Caenorhabditis elegans: one gene and its partner. The protein of the gene in region 1 interacts with the protein of each later gene in a pairwise test. Each region holds a gene or a part of one and is shown on either strand. Other genes may lie near its edges.

The links. Proteins that work in one complex are often made in the same cells at the same time.
Region 2: the proteins of ran-1 (region 1) and samp-1 interact in a two-hybrid assay, tested with the Caenorhabditis elegans proteins (one large-scale study listed by BioGRID).

What each region holds. Positions count from the first base shown.
Region 1 is NC_003281.10:10,746,081-10,752,133, reverse strand, and holds ran-1 (GTP-binding nuclear protein ran-1), read left to right. Parts: upstream 1-4,405; 5' UTR 4,406-4,407; coding exon 4,408-4,525; intron 4,526-4,573; coding exon 4,574-4,699; intron 4,700-4,746; coding exon 4,747-4,868; intron 4,869-4,915; coding exon 4,916-5,104; intron 5,105-5,151; coding exon 5,152-5,244; 3' UTR 5,245-5,553; downstream 5,554-6,053. Other genes in the region: enu-3.6 (ENhancer of Uncoordination), read right to left, coding at 430-564, 613-759, 808-1,368, 1,530-1,646; dkc-1 (Putative H/ACA ribonucleoprotein complex subunit 4), read right to left, coding at 2,206-2,929, 2,979-3,457, 3,500-3,586, 3,645-3,692; rib-2 (Exostosin-like-3 homolog), read right to left, coding at 5,609-5,795, 5,848-5,999. UniProt on the Caenorhabditis elegans protein: Ran GTPase system comprises ran-1, ran-2 and ran-3 and is essential in nucleocytoplasmic transport. Ran-1 is a GTP-binding protein that mediates the interaction between mitotic chromosomes and kinetochore microtubules.
Region 2 is NC_003280.10:11,299,424-11,307,509, forward strand, and holds samp-1 (Transmembrane protein 201 homolog), read left to right. Parts: upstream 1-3,467; coding exon 3,468-3,529; intron 3,530-3,582; coding exon 3,583-3,833; intron 3,834-3,884; coding exon 3,885-4,404; intron 4,405-4,450; coding exon 4,451-4,529; intron 4,530-4,578; coding exon 4,579-4,706; intron 4,707-4,758; coding exon 4,759-5,322; intron 5,323-5,785; coding exon 5,786-5,948; 3' UTR 5,949-6,263; downstream 6,264-8,086. Other genes in the region: saps-1 (Serine/threonine-protein phosphatase 6 regulatory subunit), read left to right, coding at 1-74, 137-354, 402-790, 941-1,188; raga-1 (GTP-binding protein), read left to right, coding at 1,941-2,083, 2,139-2,747, 2,795-2,885, 2,936-3,031; rsf-1 (Ras association domain-containing protein 1 homolog), read left to right, coding at 6,995-7,034, 8,017-8,086. UniProt on the Caenorhabditis elegans protein: Plays a role in nuclear migration in hypodermal cells.

The DNA of each region.
Region 1 (6,053 bases):
TGAAGAACATCGAGAACAAAACTCATGGTGCATCGACTAACAAATTTTTCGGCCAAAAAAATCTGATAAAATATGATGGCAAACAGACTTCCTAGAAACACCTGAATTTCGCCCGTAAAAAATGAGTGCGCCTTTAAGAGCTACAGTAACCCACTAAATCATTAAACTGAAAGTTCCTTGATGTCGAAAGAGAAACAAAATTTGACAAAAAAAAATTTATTGTCAGAGAAAAGTAATAGAAGTGAAATTGTGTGGGGAAATAAATACGGACGGGGAGTTTGAAAAAAGAATGGGACTATACGAGGTCATAAATAATACAATTGTGGGGAACGATGAGCATAGAAAAGGGGAAATGGGGCTCCATAAAAAAAATGAAGGACCTAAAAACGGGGGAAAATCACGAGAGGCGGTCGGGGGCTCAGAAGAACTTCAATCGTGTGGCTTGTCCACAGTGACGAACGCTTCCAGCGCTGCTTGTTTCGATGTCGACTCCTTCTTCTTCTTCTTAATCAAGGACGGTGGGAGCGACGTATTTTCCGGGGTGCCTGGCATTGGCGATTGCTTCTGAAAATTTGAAATTTTAGATAAAAACATCATGAGATTTAAGCTAACCGGAGTCTGGAGCTTCTCCTTGGTGGCCTTTTCGGTGACTGGAAGCATCTGAGCTTGTTGGAGCAGTGGGACCAAGTTCGTCAAATCAGTGGGCAGCTTCGGGGCTTTGCGCTTCGACGATTCAGCCGCCATTGATCTTCCCTTAATCTGAAAACAAAAATCGTTGTGAGACCCAGCGTGTGCCTTTAAACTTACATGAGATCCCGGTGTGAGGAGAGCGTCGGTTTTCGGCGTTTCCTTGGTGGGTTCTGGCAGCACTGTCTTCTGTTGTGGCTCCAATTTCACAGAGAACACGTCCATCTTCATGTGCACCGGTGACGTCAATTCAAGCTTCAGCTCAAGACGGGCATCGCTGAAGATCTCCTTCGCCAAGGTCTCCGATGAGCAAACGAACGGCGGTCCATCATCAAGATATCCGTGCAGGAAAACCTTCTGCTCGGTCATTTTCTCCACATGATGTTGCACGAGCTCCAAAGCGTACCGCGCCTTTTCCTCTGTCGTCACCAGCGGCGCAGGGAGATCCAAATCATTGATGAGCGAAATGAGCTCCTTTCCACGTCCCCAATTGTCGGCGATCACTTGCAAGTGACAGCTCATTGCTTCTTCCTTTTGAGCGGTCTTGGTCCGACTCTCGTATGGTCCGTTGGTCGAGCCTGCTCCGAGGGCTGGTGTGATGGGCGGGGCCACCGCGGATCGTCGTTTCTCCATCACTTTTGTGACGTTTCCATTGGGAGTCTTGATCTCTTCTACCACATACTGAAATTTAAAACTGCGTTTTTTCAATGCTCTTTCAATGCTAATAATTCCGTTTTTACGTCGTGGCCGCGAAATGCGAAAACTCGGCCACCTTCAAATATCTTGGCCGAGCTCTCGCTTTTTCTAGGCCACGTTGCAAAAAAATCGATAATAAAACGTACCGGATTCGCGGCAATTCCATAAGCCAACCGCCGGCGTTCCTTCTCCTCATCCTTGTGCTGCTGATCGTCTTGTTCTTCTCGCTTTGCCAATGAAGACAAAATACGCCAAATACACATTTTTATGTGACGCGTGTGTCGGAGAGAAACCGACTTCACAAACTAATTTAAGTTATAATTTGTTTATTTCGGGGCCTATTTCGCAACCACCGCACACTTTTTTCGCAAGCCTCGCACGTTTTTTCCATGATATTGTTGCATTTTTTCAAAAGAAAAAACGTGTGCGGTGGTTGCGAATAGGTCCCCCCCTGCATCCTGTTTTGGTGGGGCCTCGTAAATTCACGTCGGCCACGTCAATTTATTTTTCGAATGAATTGTTTTCTTTGCTAAAAGAATGGTTTTCCTCATTTAAAAATCTAAATGTTCTTTTTAAAGAAAAAAAAATAATTTTTTCGACGTCCGATCGTTGTCGACACTGCCTGGAAACTCCTAAATTATGTTATTTGATCTCTACACGTTTTTTCTTTCGAAAATCCGATTTATATAAAGTTCAAATGTTCAACAAAATTGGTACAACAAGGAAAACGATGTTTAGAATGAATAACAACAAAAAGATTTTTGAACAACAAGTAAATAGTCAACAGAGGTAATTTAAAAAAGAAAAAACATAAAAATGAGCTTAATCGCTATCACTATCACTCGACTCTTGCTTCTTGGACTTTTTGGATTTCTTCTTCGGTGCCTCCTCCTCTTCCTCGTCTGGCGTCTCCTCTTTCTTGACTTCTTTCTTCGTCGAAGTTTGAACGTACTCCTTGGCCCACGATTTTGGAGTAGTGTCATTTGGTTTTCCGAATTTGTCTAGAAGTCCGTCCTTGACCATTTGCTTCTTCTTGGATGCAACCGGTCCAAGTCCCCACTTTCTTCCGTACACATCACGCTCCATAATGACACGCTTCGACTTGGCAACGACTCCGTGATCGACTGAAGCGATCGTTGATGTGTTCATCTGAGCAATAGCGATGCAGATGGCTTCTCCCTTCGTCGACATGATGACGATCTCCTTGCCAACCTCGATGTCATCGTCGTAACGAAGAATTCCGGGAATAAGGATCTTGGCTCCGTAGCAGATCGCGTTGATGCAACTGTCCTTGACAACAACTCTCTTGTGCTGGGTGAGAAGAGCCTCAAGTGGACGAACGATGTGTCTCATGTAGCTCTCGTCTTTCTGGGTGTCTAGGAGATACTGAGCATCGAGAACGTCGTGCATTGTGACCATATTCTCGTTTTCATCGCAGATTCCGGATCTGTTTCTGCGAAGCTCTTGCATTTGACCTCCGCATCCGAGGATGAGACCGAGATGCACACAAATTGTACGAACGTAGGTTCCCGACTCGCAGATGCAGCTGAAATTAAATGAAAACTAGAAATTAGATTTATTATAAGGATTCTTACTTGAAAATTCCCATCTGTTGAGCTGGATCATACTCGATGAACTTGTTCTCGTAAACGGTACGAATACGAAGCTGACGCTTGACAGCTGAGATCAGTGGTGGGCGTTGGAAGAGGGCTCCGGTGAGCTTCTCGAGGGCTTGCTTCACCTTGCGATCATCCTCAACTTCCTCGTGGAGCTTGAAGATGCAGATGTATTCCTTTCCAGCTCCTTGCTGCGACTTGGCCAAACGAGTGGTACGGTCGATACAAACGATCAGACATCCCGATACTTTTGGATCGAGTGTTCCACTGTGTCCGGTCTTCTCGCAACGAAGAATTCTCTTGATCCAGGACACGACTTCGTGAGAAGATGGGTTCGATGGTTTGTCAAGATTGAAGAATCCAGACGAAATGTAGTTCTTGATGTCACGCTTTAATGGTGATACTCCCTCGACGTGTGGTGTGTAGTGATTGGTGCGCACATTCAATTTGTCGTAATTCTGAAATAATAATTTAATTTTTAAATGAGATCACTCAACTACCTTGAGCAAAAGTGGCCACTGGGAAGCATCGAGCTTGGCGGTTTCGTTCGAGGATGGAAGTTGGAATGATCCCTTCTGTTGAGCCTCCTGAAATAATGAAAATGTACTCAATATTTAATAAATGGCTTGAAAATTAAAAACTAACAGCTAGATCGTCTCCCTCAAGCTTGGAACGCTTATCCTTCTTGCCCATGATGAGATCTTCGCTGAAAAAATAACATTATTGACAAAATCCAACAGTTCTGAAGCGATTAACAAGAGTTTAAAGATTAATAAGGTTCTAATGAACTCCAAATATGCCTCATAAGCTCGTGGAAAGTGTCAAGAAGCAGAAAACCTGCCAGAAAACTATCGATTTTTTGAAAAACGAGAGAAGAAACCCCCATTGGCAGTGTGCCAGACGAAAGAGACACAGGCTGCGTGTGTGCCCCTATGCCTCAACACACACGGGGTTCTACGCAAAAACATTTTCGAATTTTGTTCATTTTGGCGCGCAAATCTGGCTTGTTGCGCCATTTTCGAATACTTTTCTTGTCCCTGGCGCCAAGTTTTGTCATCTTTTTTCGGTTTTTTCATTCATTTTGATGCATTTGCGTTGTTTCCTCAGTTGGTTCACTGTAATTTTCGAGTTCTCTCTGATTTTGCTCCATGAGCAAGCTCTGATCACGAGATAATCTCTCTGCTCAGCTTCACGTCTCTTCTAAAACTTTTTTGCTCAATTCTAAATACACATTATCCGAACATTCTTGTTTTTGAAATATTTATCCACCGCTTCGTGATTTTCAACTGAAGCTTCGGTAATACGTAGAATTTCGCAATAATTCGCATTTTCGAAAAGTTTCGTGCTATTTTCCTCTTGACAATCTTTTTCCTTCGTATTTTATTCTCCTCATCTCCTCATTTCAGTCATGTCTGGTGGAGACGGCATCCCAACTTTCAAGCTTGTCCTTGTCGGAGATGGAGGAACCGGAAAGACTACCTTCGTTAAACGTCACTTGACTGGAGAGTTCGAGAAGAAGTATGTTGGTAAGTAATTCAGGAATTTGTTTCTCCCAGTTCAATAATTGTTTTCAGCCACTCTCGGAGTCGAAGTTCACCCACTTGTCTTCCACACCAATCGCGGACAAATTCGTTTCAACGTTTGGGACACCGCCGGACAGGAGAAATTTGGTGGTCTTCGTGACGGATACTACATCCAAGGTATGTTAAAATTCGAAATTATAACTTCTGAAATGCCCAATTTCCAGGACAATGCGCCATTATCATGTTCGATGTTACCGCTCGTGTCACCTACAAGAATGTCCCGAACTGGCATCGCGATTTGGCCAGAGTATGTGAAAACATTCCAATTGTTCTCTGCGGAAATAAGGTAATCACTAGCTGAAACTGGCCAATATATTCAATTACAAATTTCAGGTCGACGTCAAGGACCGTAAAGTGAAGGCCAAGACCATCACCTTCCACCGAAAGAAGAACCTCCAATACTACGACATCTCCGCAAAGTCGAACTATAACTTCGAAAAGCCATTCCTCTGGCTCGCCAGAAAGCTGCTCGGAGATCCAAACCTCGAGTTTGTCGCAATGCCAGCTTTGGCTCCTCCAGAGGTATTTTTAAATCCATGTTCTTTCATAAGCAATATTTTAATTTCCAGGTTCAAATGGACCCAGCCATGATTGCCGAATACGAAAAGGATCTGGACAACGCCGCCAAGGCTGATCTTCCAGATGACGACGATGATCTTTAAACACTTTAACCTTTCAAAATCCTTGTTTTCAAATCTCACAAAACCATCCCACCTAAATTTACCATTTTATACATTTCATATGCCAATTAATTTCTTAACTTAAAAATAATTTGCATACCCAACCGGTGTCTACAATTCAAAGTGCTGGCTTGGGTAGAAGAAGGATTGTACATTTGCTGTTTGATCGTTGTGCGAATGAATTGAAGAAATGGTTGGCTCATCACTCTCAATCTCCATGATTTATTTTATATTTTATGTTCGACTAAAAAATTTTAAACAACTTGTTGCAATAAATTGTAGCACCATTCGACAAGTGAATTATACCGGCAATAGGGAAAGTGAGCAAATGCAGAGGGGGATTTTTTTACACATATTTAAAGCACTTTTGATGATTCTGTGGGAGACGCGTCTTGAAAAGAATCGAGTCAGCACGGAATTGGGAGAATTTCAGAGGATTGTAGCCGTAGATTTTCGTGAACAATCGCATACATTCGTGGCGTTTCTCGAAATGTGTCCCTTCTTTATACAAGCTTTCCGTGCAAGTTGGACATCTGAAAATTGAAATTATTATTAGATTAGACTCATTTAAAATCTGGAAATTACTTGAGCGTCCATCGAGAAGTCGTTTTGATTGGCGGTTTTCGTGTGAGATGAGAAACTAAATAATTCATAGCAATGTCCTCGCAGTTTTTGATGCTATTCACATGTTCACGAATTTCAGCTGGCATTTCGTAGGTGTAAGCAGTCAAATAGTTCTGAAATTTTTAACGTTTTAGATTTTATACGGGTTTTACCCAGACGCGGGAATT
Region 2 (8,086 bases), on another chromosome or scaffold:
AAAACCTTGGAGATGCTATCAACCGTGCGAAGAAGGCAGGAATTCCCAATCAGAAGTTGCTTGCTATTTTGAGTGTAAATAATTTATTTATTTATTTATTATCGTTCTTTATATATATTTTTTATAATTTTTCCAGGCAGACAACACATGGACAGAACTCGAAGATATCATTCATCTTTACAACTTGAAACATCGCCCTCAGATGCAACACGATTTTAATGATTCCAGTGTGGTCTCATCGATTCGAAACGACAGTCACGGTTTCAACGATAGTGAAGAGTGGACTGATGCTTCTACGAAATTCGCCGAAATGGATGCAACATCATCTGCTAAGCAAGCGTTTTCTGGTTTTAGGTTAGTTATTAAATTATTGCCAATTTTACGTCTAATCTATTTTTTAGCTCGCCATTCGAACCAAATATGCAGCGATTTTCCGACTTTGAAGGTCAATTTGACGACACGCCGGACGAGGATGAGTTCAGAAAGTTGTGCTCAGAGCGAGCCAACTCCTCGTCGTGCGCTGGAATAAGTTTCGAGACGAGCCCAATCAAATGGCCTGGAGAGGCAGAAAAGACATCAGAGAAGGCGTCGGAACCACCGAGTGTCGTTGCCAGTACGTATCCACAACAGACAAACGGGAATCAGGCTTTTCTAGAACAGGAAGAAGGAGACGGGGAGTGGGTGTGGCCAACTGTGCCACCACTCGGGGAAACCGAAGTTGTCACTCAGACTGGACATCGTCCGGAAAATAACTGGGTTGACGAGACGGCACCTGACTTTTCACATTTAGGTAATAAAGCTGGACATGATAGGTGGGATTGCAGCCACCATCAAGTCTGTAGATTGTTGCACGTCGGTTTCCCTTTCCGATTTCCTGGAGTAAGCCATCCCACCTATGTTGAACCAATTTTATTACTCAATTTAAAATCAATGTTTTCAGACATGGCACCCCCAAAGGAAGACGATATGTGGGCCGATTTCTCCTCGTTCCCAACCATCAGTCCGACTGCAGCTGCAAACTCGGCGTCGTCCAGTAGCTCCGATGCGTGGCCTGGATCAGACATTCATCTTCAAGGGGAAGCGTCGGATTGGCCGTTGAACAACTCGCACGAATCGAAAGCATCCGACCCGGTAATGGTTGGACTTGCTGCGAGTATATCCCATCCTGGAGACAGCAGCGAGGCTTGAAGCCCTTGCAACTCGTGTCATCCCCAATTCGTTTCACATCCCAATTATTTTCTACATTTTTCTGTTTATAGTCTTGTATGCAATTCACTTCGAACTTCCCCCTCATTTTCAACCAGAATTCCAAAATTTTTCTGTGTGTGTGTGTTTCTTGCAAATTTCACTTATTAATTTATCAATCTCGATTTTGCGGTTCTTTCCCATTCTCCATTCGTTGTTCATGTTTCCCCATATTCCCACCGACTTTAAAACCGTTGCATCCGATGCACTTAGAATTTTGTTTCCGAATTTTCCGTGGCTTCTCATCTTTGCTGGTTTCTTCTAAAGAACATTATCTTATCATTTAAAAAAAGTGAGCGCCCCCAGTGATAAGAAGCACGGCTTATTTGTTACTTCTTCTAATACATAATATATGATTCTCGGGCAACTTTTAATTTGGTCCAATCTTTTCCCCCTCTACTCTTTTTCTTGTTTAGGTGGTTATTGAAATTCAATTATTCTGATTTCACCTTCATTGATTGTTTATCTCGTGTTAGTGAGTATCAGATTTTCCATTCCATCCTATTTCACAATTCGTTGCATTCAATAATAACTTCCCACTATTTCTTGTATTTCTTCCTCTTTCATGAGTTTATAAATTCTTTTTAAAAAATTATAGCTTGATTGAAAATTTGGATGTTTTATGATCATTGTTCTAATATCTTAGTTTTGTTTCAAAGATCTTCAGAAAAAAACATAATTTATTTTCAGAAAAGATGTCTTCAAAACGAAAAGTTCTTCTGATGGGCAAAAGTGGATCCGGCAAGACTTCGATGCGTTCGATCATATTTGCCAACTACATCGCCAGGGATTGTTCGCGTCTCGGGCCAACAATCGAAGTTGAGCATGCTCATGTCAAGTAAGGGATCAATTCTGGATCAATTATCAAAAGAACACAATTTTTCCTTTTCCAGGTTCCTCGGAAACATGGTTCTTCACTTGTGGGATTGTGGTGGTCAGGAATCATTCATGGAGAACTTCCTCGTCTCGCAAAAGGATCAGATCTTCAAGAATGTTCAAGTGCTCATATACGTATTCGACGTGGAAAGCCGAGAGTTCGAGAAAGATCTCAGATATTACCAGTCTTGTCTCGAAGCTCTTCTCCAAAATTCACCGAATGCTCAAGTCTTCTGTCTCATTCACAAAATGGATCTGATCGAGGAGGACAAACGTGAAGAGACGTTCAAACGTCGTGAAGCAGATGTACTGCGATACAGTGAACTTGCAGCGACTCCACTTCAGAATGAACGGACGAACGCTGTTTGTCAATGCTTCAAGAGCAGTATTTGGGATGAGACACTCTACAAAGCGTGGTCCGCGATAGTCTATCATCTGGTGCCAAACGTCGGAACCATGGAGGACAAGCTGAAGAAGTTCGGAGCTATTTTGGATGCCGATGAAGTTATTCTATTCGAGAGAGCGACGTTCCTGGTTATTGCGCATGCTGTTCTCCGAGAGCATAAGGATCCACATCGATTCGAGAAGGTTTCAAACATCATAAAGCAATTCAAGCTTTCATGCACGTAAGTTACATCGAAACAGATTAATTCAAGCTTCATCTTCCTTTCAGAAAAATGGGGTCCAAGTTGGATTCGATTCAAGTCCGAAACAGTCAATTCTCCGCATTCATCGACTCGTTCACCCAGAACACTTATGTTATGGTAAAATCTCAAATAAAATGTATTTTAAAACACTATTTTATTTTGTTCAGATCGTGATACCCGACGGCAACGCATCGGCTCCAATGATCACAATGAACGTGAAGAACGCGAGGAAGGTGTTCGAGGCGATCGAGACGAAAAGCTAGACGAATTTGAATATTTCACCGAGTTCTTGCCCCGCATTCCAGTTATTTTCGTTTAGTTACCATCCCATATCCCATGTTGCTGTATTATAATGCTAAACTGATTTATTTAAATCCAACTGCAAAATTGTTCAACTCTATATTTTTCACTATATTTCGTAATTCACCGCTTAGATTTTCCGTTTCGCCAGTGCTTTTGCGAAGTTTTTCGTTTTTTTTGTTTAATTCTCCCCGTACCATCCAAATCCGATTCTTTGCGATAGTCATCATCGAAAAAACCTATCGTTCGTGTTCTTGTTCTGTATTTGTATATGAATTGTGCTATATTTTCATTTGGAATTTAACTGATATTTTCTCGTTTAATTAGTAATTTGTTATCAACAAGTCTGCCTATTTTAATCTATGTTTAAAAAAGTATAAAATTTCAATATAAATTCAGATGGAGGTGGCTGCTGCGGTCGGTGTGATCGCTTCAGTTCCGATCCTTTATAAGGCTATAAGGTAATGTTTTTCTTCTTAATTTGCAAAAAATTAATAATTATACATATTTTCAGACCTCGGATAAAGACATCGGTGGAGTGCTGGTTTTGCCGCAAAAGCACGAAGGTCGAATACCAGCAAAGGAATAGCTTCACCTGCCCGTCATGCGAACAATACAACGGATTCACCGAAGACGGAGACTATAACCGTCGGATTCCTGGACAAGCGTGGACTACACCCAAGAGATATTGTGAGCCGGGGAAAATGCAGTCAGAGAAGCCGAGCACATTTTTGGATCGATTTGGCGGGGTGAACATGAGTCCTAGTGAGTTTAATATCCTTTTTTTATAATTTATGAGTTAAATTAAAATTCCAGAAGCTTCTAACGGTCTCTGCTCGGAATGCAACCTCGGCCAGGAGATCATAATGAACAAGGTCGCAGAATTCGAGCCCATTGATGAGGATCGATGGAACGAAGAGCTCGAGGATTATCGATACAAACTGGAAAGAATGTACCAGCTGTGTCCGAGATGTACAATTCAAGTTCATGGAAAGCTGGAGGAGGATAAGAAGAAATACTCATATCTTCTGAAAGTGAAATATAAGCTGAAACATGCAATTGGATCTACTCTACGAGAAGTGATGAACAATCAGAAACGATCGCGGAGATTCTTCTTCGCCGGTGGAAGTACATGTGAAGCTCTTCATTTTGGATGCCTCATCTCTTCAATTATTCTCTTTTTGGCGAATATCGACTTCTTACAGCAAGATGCAGGAGCATCGCTGATCAATTTGCCAAAGGCTCTTCAAGATATTCTGCCAGAAGTTTATAAATATTCCTTCGTCATCAATTTTCTGATCTTCACTACACATTTGATTGCTGCATTTAATAATAAGTAAGTTTCATTCTACAATACAAAAAAACTGTAATTTTAATTTCAGATGCCGAGTTACTCTTCCCGACCTGCTGCTGCCCATCCTTCTGATCCTCGCAATGCTAACAGTTTTGACTTCAAGTGATGTGAGTTTCAAAATATACCCTTTGCAAGTTTTACACCTCTTTTTTTCAGAATTTATCACAAGATGTCGCTCTTGTCAGAGGTGCATGTGCTTCGTTTTCAACGATCCTTTCAATGGCAGTGACACTTCTTCCAAGGAAAAAGCTGCATAAGAAACGACCGAATAAGATTGTTTCAAGGTTAAATAAATATTTTATTTTTAAAAATTCCTTCAACTTTTTCAATTTTCAGTGCCTTCTCTGTTGCGTCAACTCCGATCTCTCAATGCTCTTCACAAAACAGTCGAAACGCTTCACTTCTCGATCATGACCACACGATTCTTCGAAGATCTCCACATACGCCATCAGCAAGCCCTCCAGCAATGAATTCCTCTCCACCATTGCTCCGTGAAATAACAAATGGTCCAGTGTGGTCTGCAATGAGAAGTCGGGAGAACAAGGAAAATATGCAAAGTTATCAGACTAAACCTAACAATCACGTGGAATCAATGGATTGGGATGATAGTGAATCGATGGCGGCTCAATCGGTTGCTCAATCAACTCGTTCCAGTCATTTCAAGCCAGGACTTTTATCCAGAAATATCAATGAAAGAATGACTGCTCAACAGCTTACACCCTCCGTGGCAAATTTGAATCTTGATACGAGATCTGTCGATTCTCCAAGTATATTCTCAAGACAACACCGGCAAATGGCTCAGCAACAGAATCACACACCGACTAGATCATTGTTCGGGCCACCACGATCTATGGTAGCTTCACAATACGACAGGAGCCACTACATGGCACCGGAAGCACAGTAAGATTTGTTGAAACTGAAATATTTATTAAAACTTAACCCTTTAATCTTGAACAATCAGTTATTTTTTGTTTAGAATGATAATTAGAGAAGCAATAGTGTGATAGCATTTGTGCAGGATAATTGTATATTAGACTTTTAAAAACTTAGAACTGATTGGACGTTGGACTTTGATAAATAATATGTGGAATTTTGGTTAGACCTTTCAAGTCACAGGTCACGTAAGCTCAGATGAAAACTAAAATTAATTTAAAAAGAATTGAAAATTCCGTTATTATTCAATTTAGATTTAAAATTTGAAGATTAGATTTTCGTTTCGAGACCGTGGTTACGGTATTTTGGAGCCAATAATATTTTGCAAGAACCAGCATTTATTGAAAAGATTGACTAAATTCTGTTTGGTTTTTCTACGTTTTTCCTTCTATTAACCTTCAAGATTCCCATCAATTTTATTTATTTACAGCACTCGACCCGGTTCAGTGTTCACATCGGTCTCGCAACAAGACGGACACTCAACGGTCAGCGGCGCGTGGCAGTGTCGCGTCATCGGCATCCTCTTCGCGCTGGTTTTTATCGTACTCATCATGCAGATCGGACTGTTCTACGTTCTTTTCACCCGCAATTGATTCGACCTTATTATATATGTTGTTTTCTATGTTTCATCTCTCTCCTCATCATGCCCTATTCACATTTTTGTTGTTTGATCCTGTGTGATATTAGTTTCAAGTTATTTGGGTTCCCAGTGCTCTTTTACTATTTGATGTGTGTCTAGCTCGTTTTGTTGAATTTATTCTTTCAAATATGCCCCTTTTCACCCTCTCTGATGATCTCACTTCGTTGTTAAATACCTTACTACTTCAATTTCTACTACATGAAACCCATCTACATATACATCTCTCTCCAGTACAAGTCTATTGACAAAATGAATAATTCCCGAGAAAAAAGAACGCGCAAAAGATGAGAAATGGATTGCAACAACATCAACAAACAAGGCAGCTTCCCCATCCCGCCTGCTGCGCACCACACAATTGCTCCACTCCTGCGCTTCTCCCGGATTGCACACTGTCTGGGAGTGGTCGAATCTCTGCGTCTCGCCAATTCACACACTCTTCGTGTCCTCTGTTTGTCCGCCTGACCTCACTTTAGTAGATGTCTCTTTTGAATACCAGTTTTCTATGCCCAAAATTGGGAAAACTTTGAAATTGGCAAATTGTAAGGTTTTTCACAAAACTTAAAAAACACTTCTATATTTACTGCTAATCAAATAAAAAAATCTTAAAAACCACCGGTGGCGTAGTGGTTAATTATTTTGCTGCCGCTCAGACGACGCCAGTTCGACTTTTACCATCTTCTGCCACAATTACGGTTACTCGTATTCATCTTCTCACAATTATCCACACCGTCATTTGTTCCTTTTCTCTTCCGTATCTCATATTTTCCTCCCTTTTCTTCTCATATTTCATTCACTTGTGATCCTCCCTTCCTCTTTTCAATGGACGAGTCTTGCAGCAAAAACCAAAACTCTTATGAATTTTTCATGCCATATCCCTTTTAAATAGCTCAATTCTCGGAAGAAACCGTGTGTATGTACTTATGCTGCTGACTTTGACTTTAAATTTGTACTTTTGAATATGGAATGTATGATGATTTCAGATCAAAACTGTATGTGCACATGCTTCGGTCCGTTGTAAATAATAATGATAAAGCTAAAGGTGAGTTTTCAAATTTTTAATTTTTGTTTTTATTAAACAACAGGAAAAATTTTAAAGGTTGTGTCAAAACTGTCAGGCATTTTGACTTTTCTAGGCCACTGACCATATTAAATGGTTGAGAAAACATATATATATAAAAGTTAGATTGAAAAAGAAAGTTTTAGTGAGTTGCCTAATTTTCCAAAACGTTTTTGTAAATTGCCAAATTTTTGCCGATATTTTGGCAAATTGCCAATATTTCTAGCAGGGATTTGGTAAACTGCCAATTTTCCAAAACAAATTGGCAAATATTTTAAAAGTGAGGACTATTTGGGTAATGTCGAGAATGTCTGCAAATTTGAACCCATTAGAATGATTATATGATAACAATTTATACATGGTAAAATACAAAACTCGTAGAAAAAAAGAAATTTTTTGTTCAACTTCCAAAATTATGATCATTTTTTGACTGTAAATAACAATATTTGAAAAATTTGTTGAAAAGTTTTGCTAAATTATTTTGGGCATCTTAGACGTCTGTCGACACCATGACTATAACTACAACTACTACAACTACAACTATAACTACAACTATAACTATAACTATAACTACTATAACTTACTTATGTTAGACACTATGGACACTATAACCGGTTTTAACAATTTTTCGACTTACGATACTCCTTCCAATTCTCAACTGCGGTCCTGACATTATCTGTTCAAAAAACGAATCATAAACTGGAACTCCACCAATTTCCAACTTTAAAGTTTATCAACAAAAAAACAGTAGCTCAGATCTATATCAAAAATTGCACGCGATGAGTTTCTGCACAACGAGCACGTTTCGTTTACAACATTTCACTCTCCTCATTTTTTATTGACAATCAGTTGAAAGTGAAGTGACAAGAGAGAAAAGAGAACACTCTTTCTGTGTGGGGCAAAAGATAGCAAAAAGCCTATAGATATCAGTGAAAGCAAAGAAAAAAGAAGAAGAAGTTTTCAGAGAGTGAACAAAGTGTCCGTGTGGCGACTGACGACCCAACCTACCAATCATACGCCTTCCAACCGTCGAC